Oryctolagus cuniculus: one gene and its partner. The protein of the gene in region 1 interacts with the protein of each later gene in a biochemical or structural test. Links are inferred from orthologs where the notes say so. Each region holds a gene or a part of one and is shown on either strand. Other genes may lie near its edges.

The links.
Region 2: the proteins of UBA6 (region 1) and UBE2G2 form a complex in vitro, tested with the Homo sapiens proteins (2 studies listed by BioGRID, with this or other methods). The link is inferred for Oryctolagus cuniculus from reciprocal best matches to the Homo sapiens genes UBA6 and UBE2G2.

The regions. Positions count from the first base shown.
Region 1 is NC_091439.1:97,638,464-97,642,279, reverse strand, and holds part of UBA6 (ubiquitin-like modifier-activating enzyme 6), read right to left. Parts: intron 2,548-3,816; coding exon 2,366-2,547; intron 1,140-2,365; coding exon 1,034-1,139; intron 1-1,033. UniProt on the Homo sapiens protein: Activates ubiquitin by first adenylating its C-terminal glycine residue with ATP, and thereafter linking this residue to the side chain of a cysteine residue in E1, yielding a ubiquitin-E1 thioester and free AMP.
Region 2 is NC_091435.1:1,789,854-1,793,669, forward strand, and holds part of UBE2G2 (ubiquitin-conjugating enzyme E2 G2), read left to right. Parts: intron 1-3,250; coding exon 3,251-3,369; intron 3,370-3,816. UniProt on the Homo sapiens protein: Accepts ubiquitin from the E1 complex and catalyzes its covalent attachment to other proteins. In vitro catalyzes 'Lys-48'-linked polyubiquitination. Involved in endoplasmic reticulum-associated degradation (ERAD).

The DNA of each region.
Region 1 (3,816 bases):
GGATCACATAAACAAGACTAATGTCTGCTAATAATAACTAACAGAAGTTAAAAGGAGAGAATGATCCAACATGGGAAGTGGGATACACAGCAGACTCATAGAACGGCAGATGCCCTAAACAGTGCTCTGGCATCAGAATCAGCCCTTAAGGCATTTGGATCTGGCTAAAAAGCCCATTAGAGTTTCTCAGGCATGGAAAGCCAAGACACTGTGGCAAATAAAACGACCTAAATGAATGATCTCTGTGAGTAAGATCCCAGTGGAAAGAACGGGCCATCAAAGAAGGAGGTACCTTTCTCTGAAGTGAGGAGAAAACTTCCACTTTGATTATGGCCTTGTCTAAATAAGGTAGGAATTTGTGAATTCAAGAGGCTTCCTTAGCCTTTGCAGCTCACGACAAGTGTCTTGGGTAATTACTGACGTCATAAATAAGATTGTCAATTGTTAAAACAACAACGGGAGTCACTGTGCACTTACTCCCCATGTAGATCTCTGTCCTTAATGTGTTGTACTATGCGAATTAACGGTAAAACTAGTATTCAAACAGTATTTTCTACTTTGTGTATCTGTGTGGGTGCAAACTGTTGAAATCTTTACTTAGTATATACTAAGTTGATTTTCTGTATATAAAGATAATTGAAAATGAATCTTGAAGAATGGGATGGGAGAGGAAGTGGGAGATGGGTTTGCTGTGGGTGGGAGGGAGGTTATGGGGGGAAACGCCACTACAATCCAAAAGTTGTACTTTGGAAATTTATATTTATTAAATAAAAGTTAAGAAAAAAAAAGAGGTTCTAAGAAAAAATAGTCAACATAAAACTAATACTCTATAAAGACCAGATACAAAATTTTGACAATTAAAAATAAAATAAGATATTTTTAAAAATGCACATGTACATGTGTATGGCAATAATTGGTCAAACAAAAAGAAAAGGACTCAGAAAAGTAAATCAAACTTTTTTGACTGATGAAGACAAAAAAGTTATGACATAAAAGTTGACAGACATTTACTTCAAAATATCATTTCACTTACATGACTATTGTAAGACTCAGTCAAATGAGGTACAATAACTTCTGTGTGTCCCTTAGTGCCCATTGTTCCAGAATCTAAGAGAGGTCGTAGATTTGCTAAGCAGCGGCTATTTGAAAACATAATAAGTAAAAACTCAGGAGTGAGCAATAACAATGTAAACAAAGGACACCCTACCACTTCCTACTGACCATTTCACAGACTCAACACTCCCTGAATGTAATGTTTTAGAAAGTAGATACAATACCACAAAATAACACATTGATTTTTAGCATCCCACTCCCATACACAAATTTTGTTGCTCAACCTAGTCATTTTTGTCTCTCTCTTCGACTACTGTTAACTGAATCTTTGGCTCTTAACAGTGTTACCCTTTCTTCTCTTGCTTTCTATGTCTTCTTTGATGATTTTCTGACTGCCAAATTTGATACCACAATATCTTTTCTCCCAAACACTGTTAATCTTTCTCAATACTTAAAATTCCTATGTTCTACATACTTTAATTTCTTCTTTTTCTCAAGATTATCAACTTTTCAATGCATTTTTCAACTGGTGAACCCTAATATTAAGGAGTCATATAAATGTAATAAAGTAAGGTATATACAGTTGTAGTCATTCATTCAACTCTTATTTCACAAGTATTTACTGAATAACACCATGAGTTAAGCACTGAGGACACAGTGAAAGAACATAAACAGTCTTAGCATAAATGATTTAGTGAGGCAAAAAACATTTATACACATATAGATAAAAATAAGTACTACAAAGAAAAAAGTATAAAGTGCTTTGAAGGAATCCTGCAAGATCTAATTTAAGCTTTAGCAGTTCAAGAAAATCTGTTTAAACAAAGTCATTTAGGCTAATCTGAAAGCATGAGGAAAAAAACTAAGTGAAGAGTAGGTAGGCAGATCTAGGATCAGAAGTTCTGGAGCAACAGAAACAGAATTTTTTGAGGCTGAAGAATAGTAGGTCCAAGACCCAGAGATTAAAAAAAAAAAAAAGTGGAGGTCTTTAAGAACTGAAAAATGGCACATGCAGTGCAATGCAGCTGTTTATCACTGCCTTCTCACCAGGCAAAAGCTAAAGCAGCGAGTCTGGAGGGATCAGGAAAATTTTAAGCCAGACAGGTACACAGGTGATAATTATTCCATTAAAAACATTTAGGCACGTGACCAATTTTGATTGGAAAACATCAAAGGCTTTAGGTTTAGGGAGCACTAGAATAGGAACATAACGAACAATCAGAAAATCCAGTAACTTCTCAATAAGTAGTTGTGGGAAACAGTAATGAAAATTAAGGATAACTCTTTATGAACCTGAATTTCAAGAGCATACCTGTCTACATATCTCCTGGCTTCCACATTATCTAATGCTGTAATAATTATATCTTGCTTAGTATAGAACTCATCATTGTAAATGGTCTCAGTGGCTGGACATACTTTGTTCAGGTGTGCATCTATTTTTAGTTGAGGATTTATTTTCAGAGTCGCATCAGCAGCAGTATAGCTTTTAGGTTTCTAAAAAAATAAAAAACAGAAGGAATAACATTAAACAAAAAAGATGACTATGACTGAATATACATATTCTTATTACTTTAGTCGTGTGTGTGTGTGTGTATATATATATATACACACACAGAAGGTGAGAAAAAAACTAATGGATGAATTCATTCTTGGTTTGTGGAAATTATATTAATTGCAGTCACACTACATTTCATAATGCTCATTAGCCAAAATAATGTACATATTAATAAAAATCTGAATAATCTATATTTCATAGGTAAGTACCTCTGAGTTTTTTTTTTTTTTTAAAGATTTATTTGAGAGGTAGAGTTACAGAGAGAGAGAGATAGAGAGAAAGGTCTTCCATGTGCTGGTTCACTTCCCAAATGGCCACAATGGGTAGAGCTGTGCGATATGAAACTAGGAGCCAGAAGCTTCCTCTGGGTCACCTACTCGGTGCAGAGGCCCCAGCACTTGGGCCATCTTCTACTGCCTTTCTAGGCCATAGCTGAGAGCTGGATCGGAAGAGGAGCAACAGGACATGAACTGGTACCCATATGAGATGCTGGCACTCAGGCAAAGGCTTAGCCTACTATGCTGTAGCGCTGGCCCCTTGAATTCTTATCACAGTTAAAAGTCCAATTACAAGTAGATTCCCCACTGCCCCCAGTAATGATGTTTGGTTAAGTGCCTAGACAAAACTAAAAACATATTCAGTAAAATACTAGAAATTTAGACTGCAGAAAATAAACTGTCAGAGGTTTAACAACTTGATATCAAACATTTTAAAAATTATAAATATTTCTGGATAGAAATTATTACTTATGTTTTAGTTTTATAAAAAAGTAGGCCAAATAAAATTCATTCTTTTCTGAAAGATTCATTGATAATCAATTATTAAATCGTTACTTCAAGTGTTATCAAAGTTTATTTGTAAGTAAATATGACCATTCTTTCTGAATTCACGTATCTGGTTTTAAAGGTATTTCTGTCTCTTCTCACATTGTTAGGTTGACACATTTCAATGTTCAGTATTTTTTTATTTTTAGAGTTCTTTTAATCTTATTTTTATTTACTTGAAAGGCAAAGCAACAGAGATCTCCCATCTGTAGGTTCATTCCCTAAATGCTTTTAAGAGCAGGTACTAGACCAGGCTGAAGTCAAGAGTTAAGAATTCCATCCATCTCCCACATGGGTTGCAGGGATTCAACTGCTGCTGGTGTGCATTAGCAGAAAACAGGATCAGAAGTGGAGGTGGGACTGGATCCCAGGCACTCTGACATG
Region 2 (3,816 bases), on another chromosome or scaffold:
CCTGCACCCCATGGGAGACCAGGAGAAGCACCTGGCTCCTGCCTTCGGATCAGCTCAGCGCGCCGGCCGTAGCGGCCACTTGGGAGGTGAACCAATGGCAAAGGAAGACCTTTCTCTCTGTCTCTCTCACTGTCTAACTCTGCCTGTCCAAAAAAATGTTTGTAGTTGATGGACTTATTTAATGCACTTTAAATATAGTTCGAAGGTATTTGGAGTGAAGTTGTTCAGAATCGTCTGTTCTGCAGGCAGTACGGCTGCAGGCTCCTCTTGGACAGGTCCATCGGGGCAGTAACCCGTTGAACAGAGCCTGTGTTTGCCGTTCCTAAAGCAGTTCCTGCCCGCAGTCCTCAGCGTAGGTCTTTACACAGTCGCCTGGGGCTCCTGGAGCAGGACAGGAGGCTGGCGGGGAGCGGCCCTGGCCTTTTGCCTGCAAGGGAGTCAGGGTCCCTGAGTCGGCGCCTGCCCTGAGCAGTTTCTGTTTAACTCCTGCCGCCTCGTGCCGCCTGCTGTGGGTAGCCAGAGCCCTCAGCCATTGCTGGGTTAGTGGGCAGGGCCCGGGTAATGCCGGGAGGTGGCCTCCAGCGTGGGGACTGTGTCCTGCCCCACATCGCAGCAGGGCGGGAGCAGCGGTGAGACGCCTTCACTGGACTGAGGGGAGGCCGCGGTGCCCTCCCACCCTCCCACCCCTCCCACCCCACGCCTGTGCGGCTTCCGCAGCGTGGCGTTTGGGAGCGACCTGCCCCTTTCCAGTGTTAGTGGCCGATCTGGGCCTTGACCAGGTTGATGATTCCTTGCCTTTCCCACGTGCTCAGCAGTGAAACGCACGCAGCAGCTCTGACCACCCCTTTCTTCAGAGGGAGGTGGGAGCAGCGGGGGGCCGTGGACCACCTGTGTGAGCTGCGGTGCGGCCGCAGGCCTGGCTGGCCGTGCTGCGCTCCTGCTGCTCCTCACTGGGCGGGAGAGGCTTCCTGGCACCGCGCTGGTTGCAGGGAGGGCCCGGTAACCCAGGCTTGAGGCATCTCGGCTGCGGGGCCTGCCCTGCGCGGAGCGCGTGGCCTGGCCTCAGCCTGCCCTGGTCTCGGGCTGGAGCTGCAGGACAGCGTCCCCAGCAGCCCTGTCCACTGCGTCTCCCCGAGCAGCACGCACGCGCTTTCCTTAGACTGAGGGGCGCTGGGCCCCTCACGGTCTGTGGTTCACGGTGACGTTTTGCGGGCGGTGGTCACAGCCTCCGTGCGCGGGGTCTTCTGGGGACTTTCCACTGCGTGAAAGTGAAAGTCTTCCTGCACTGCTTTCTGGGCTTTTTTTGTCTTTTTCCTTTTGGTTATGGAAATAAATATTGCTTTTAATATTTACAAATCCATATTTTTATTAATTTCACTGAACCAAGACCATTTTAGGATTTTAAACAAGTATGTACTTTAAAAAAGTCATTTAGGGGCCTGGTGTTGTGGCGTAGGGGGTTAAACCACCGCCTGTGATGCCGGCACCCCAATGAGCACTAGTCTGAGCCCCGACTCCACTTCTGTCCAGCCCCTGCTGATGCACCCGGGAAAGCAGCAGAAGATGCCCAAGTGCTTGGGCCCCTGCACCCACGTGGGAGACCCGGATGAAGCGCCTGGCTTTTGCCCCCTTCTTTAGCCCAACCTGGCCCTGGCTTTGCAGCCACTTGGGGAGTGAACCAGCAGATGGAAGTGCACTCTCGTGTGCTCTTTTCTCTCTCTCTCTTTCTTTAACTCTTTCAAATAAACAAAAATTGTTTAAAGAAATCTTTTAGGAAATAAGTTCGTTTTAGAATACATTTTTCGTCGTCTCCTTTTCCTGTGCTGGTGGCCCCGTGGGGAGGCCCTTCTGTGCTGGAGCCTGCGCCCAGAGGGAGTGCTTCCAGGCCGCAGGGACAGGCGGGCTGCACGCTCCTGCTGCCGGCGTCGCCTCTGCTGTCGCCGTGTCCTGGCCGGCAGTCCGCAGTCCTTCGTTCTATTAAGTTCCCGTGGTGAGATGCTCTGAGGCCCGTCCACGGAGGGCGATGGGTTTGGGTGGAGGCGCAGGCTGGTGGCTGTCCCCTCTCCTGCGCCCCTCATGTTCTGCTCACGGTAGCATCGCTCACACCTGTGGCTTTCAGAACTCGAGCGGAGCTTCTGACAGGGTTTAGTGCGTCCCTGCCATTTATGTGCGTGTGCCCTCACGTGCACCAGTGACTGTGTGTGTACATCAGTGACAGGGAGACGTCTGTGTGTGTGTGTGCATACATGCATCAGTGACAGGAGACACGTGTGGGAGCACCAGTGACAGGGAGATGTGTGTCTGTGCACAGAGATGCATCGGTGGCAGGGAGAGACGTGTGTGGGCACCAGTGATGGGGGGAGTGGCTGTGTGTGTGTCTCAGTGGCAGAGCTGCTGGAGGGTGGGGCTCCAGGTGTGGGCTGAGGTCCCAGGGCTCAGCCTAAGTGGAAGTCAGGGGTTGTGTGTGTGTTTGCTTAAGGTTGTGAAAATCACTTCTTGGACACCTTTAAAAATTAAAACCAGCCTTTGAATACAACTCTTAACTCCTCATTTATGTCAGTAAAGTAGAATCGTGCTGTCAGTATGGCATAGTGCACACCGTTACCCCAGGGTGCGACTTTATCATACACACAGACCGGGGTCCCTAGGGCATTGCGATGTTGGCATCAGTTATTTTCTGATCCCACTATTACAAAGAGGTTTTGGCTTCTTGATTTTTTAAAATAGATTTAAACTTGTTAAAACTTTTGGACTGAGAGTGAGAGAGCAAGAAAACTGAGCCTGCAGTTCAGCCTTTGCGCTTGCACCCACGATTGGTTGATTTACTTTAAAATCTGAATTTTTATTCACTTACTTGAAAGGCAGAGAGCGAGATTATTCCTCATCTGCTGGCTCACTCCCCAGATGCCTGCAGTGGCGGAGGCTGGGCCAGGCTGGGCCAACGCCAGGAGCTGGGGGCTCCATCTGGGTCTGCCACGTGGACGGGGGGGGGGGGGGCCCTGCCGTGTGACCCGTCGGCAGGAAGCGGGGGTCTCCCCGGGCCAGCATCTTAACCACGGGCCGGGCGTCTCCGTCCGTGTAACTAGAGGTGGAAGGCTGGGGGCAGGGCGAGCCTCTGCATCCAGAGGAGTGCGTCACTCTGGTTTCGGTTACGCGGTCTTCAGGTGCTGTGGTGAACAGTGCACACCCTCGACACTGCGGAGACGTGACACTGCCCGATGCCTGATGTGCTGTTTCCATGTGCTTCCAGGGGCCCAGAAGACACCTGCTTTGAGTTTGGTGTTTTCCCCGCCATCCTGAGTTTCCCACTTGATTACCCGTTAAGTCCCCCGAAGATGAGATTCACCTGTGAGATGTTTCACCCCAACAGTAAGTGCCTTCCAGCGTCCTCTGCGGTGCCGGGCGCGGCAGGGAGGGCCCGAGCCACAGGAAGCGAGTGCGCCACCTCCCTAGACGCCTAGCACGCGATTGCCACCTGCAGGCGAGACGCGAGCCTGCCGCTGGGCCACAGTGGGTCGCTAGAAAGCAGTGTTAGCGTGAGCTCCTCCGTGTTGAGCGTGTGACCGGGCGGGCGTGCACCTGCGGAGGGTCACACGTCTGCTGTGGGGTTATTGTTCATGCTGGAACCCCAGTAAAGTAGCCTTTCAGCAATAGAGAAGTTGCGTTCACGTCACAGATGAGTGTGATGACGTAACGGCGTTCACGTCACAGATGAGTGTGATTACGTAACGGCGTTCACGTCACAGATGAGTGTGATTACGTAACGGCGTTCACGTCACAGATGAGTGTGATTACGTAACGGCTAACGAGTGTGCC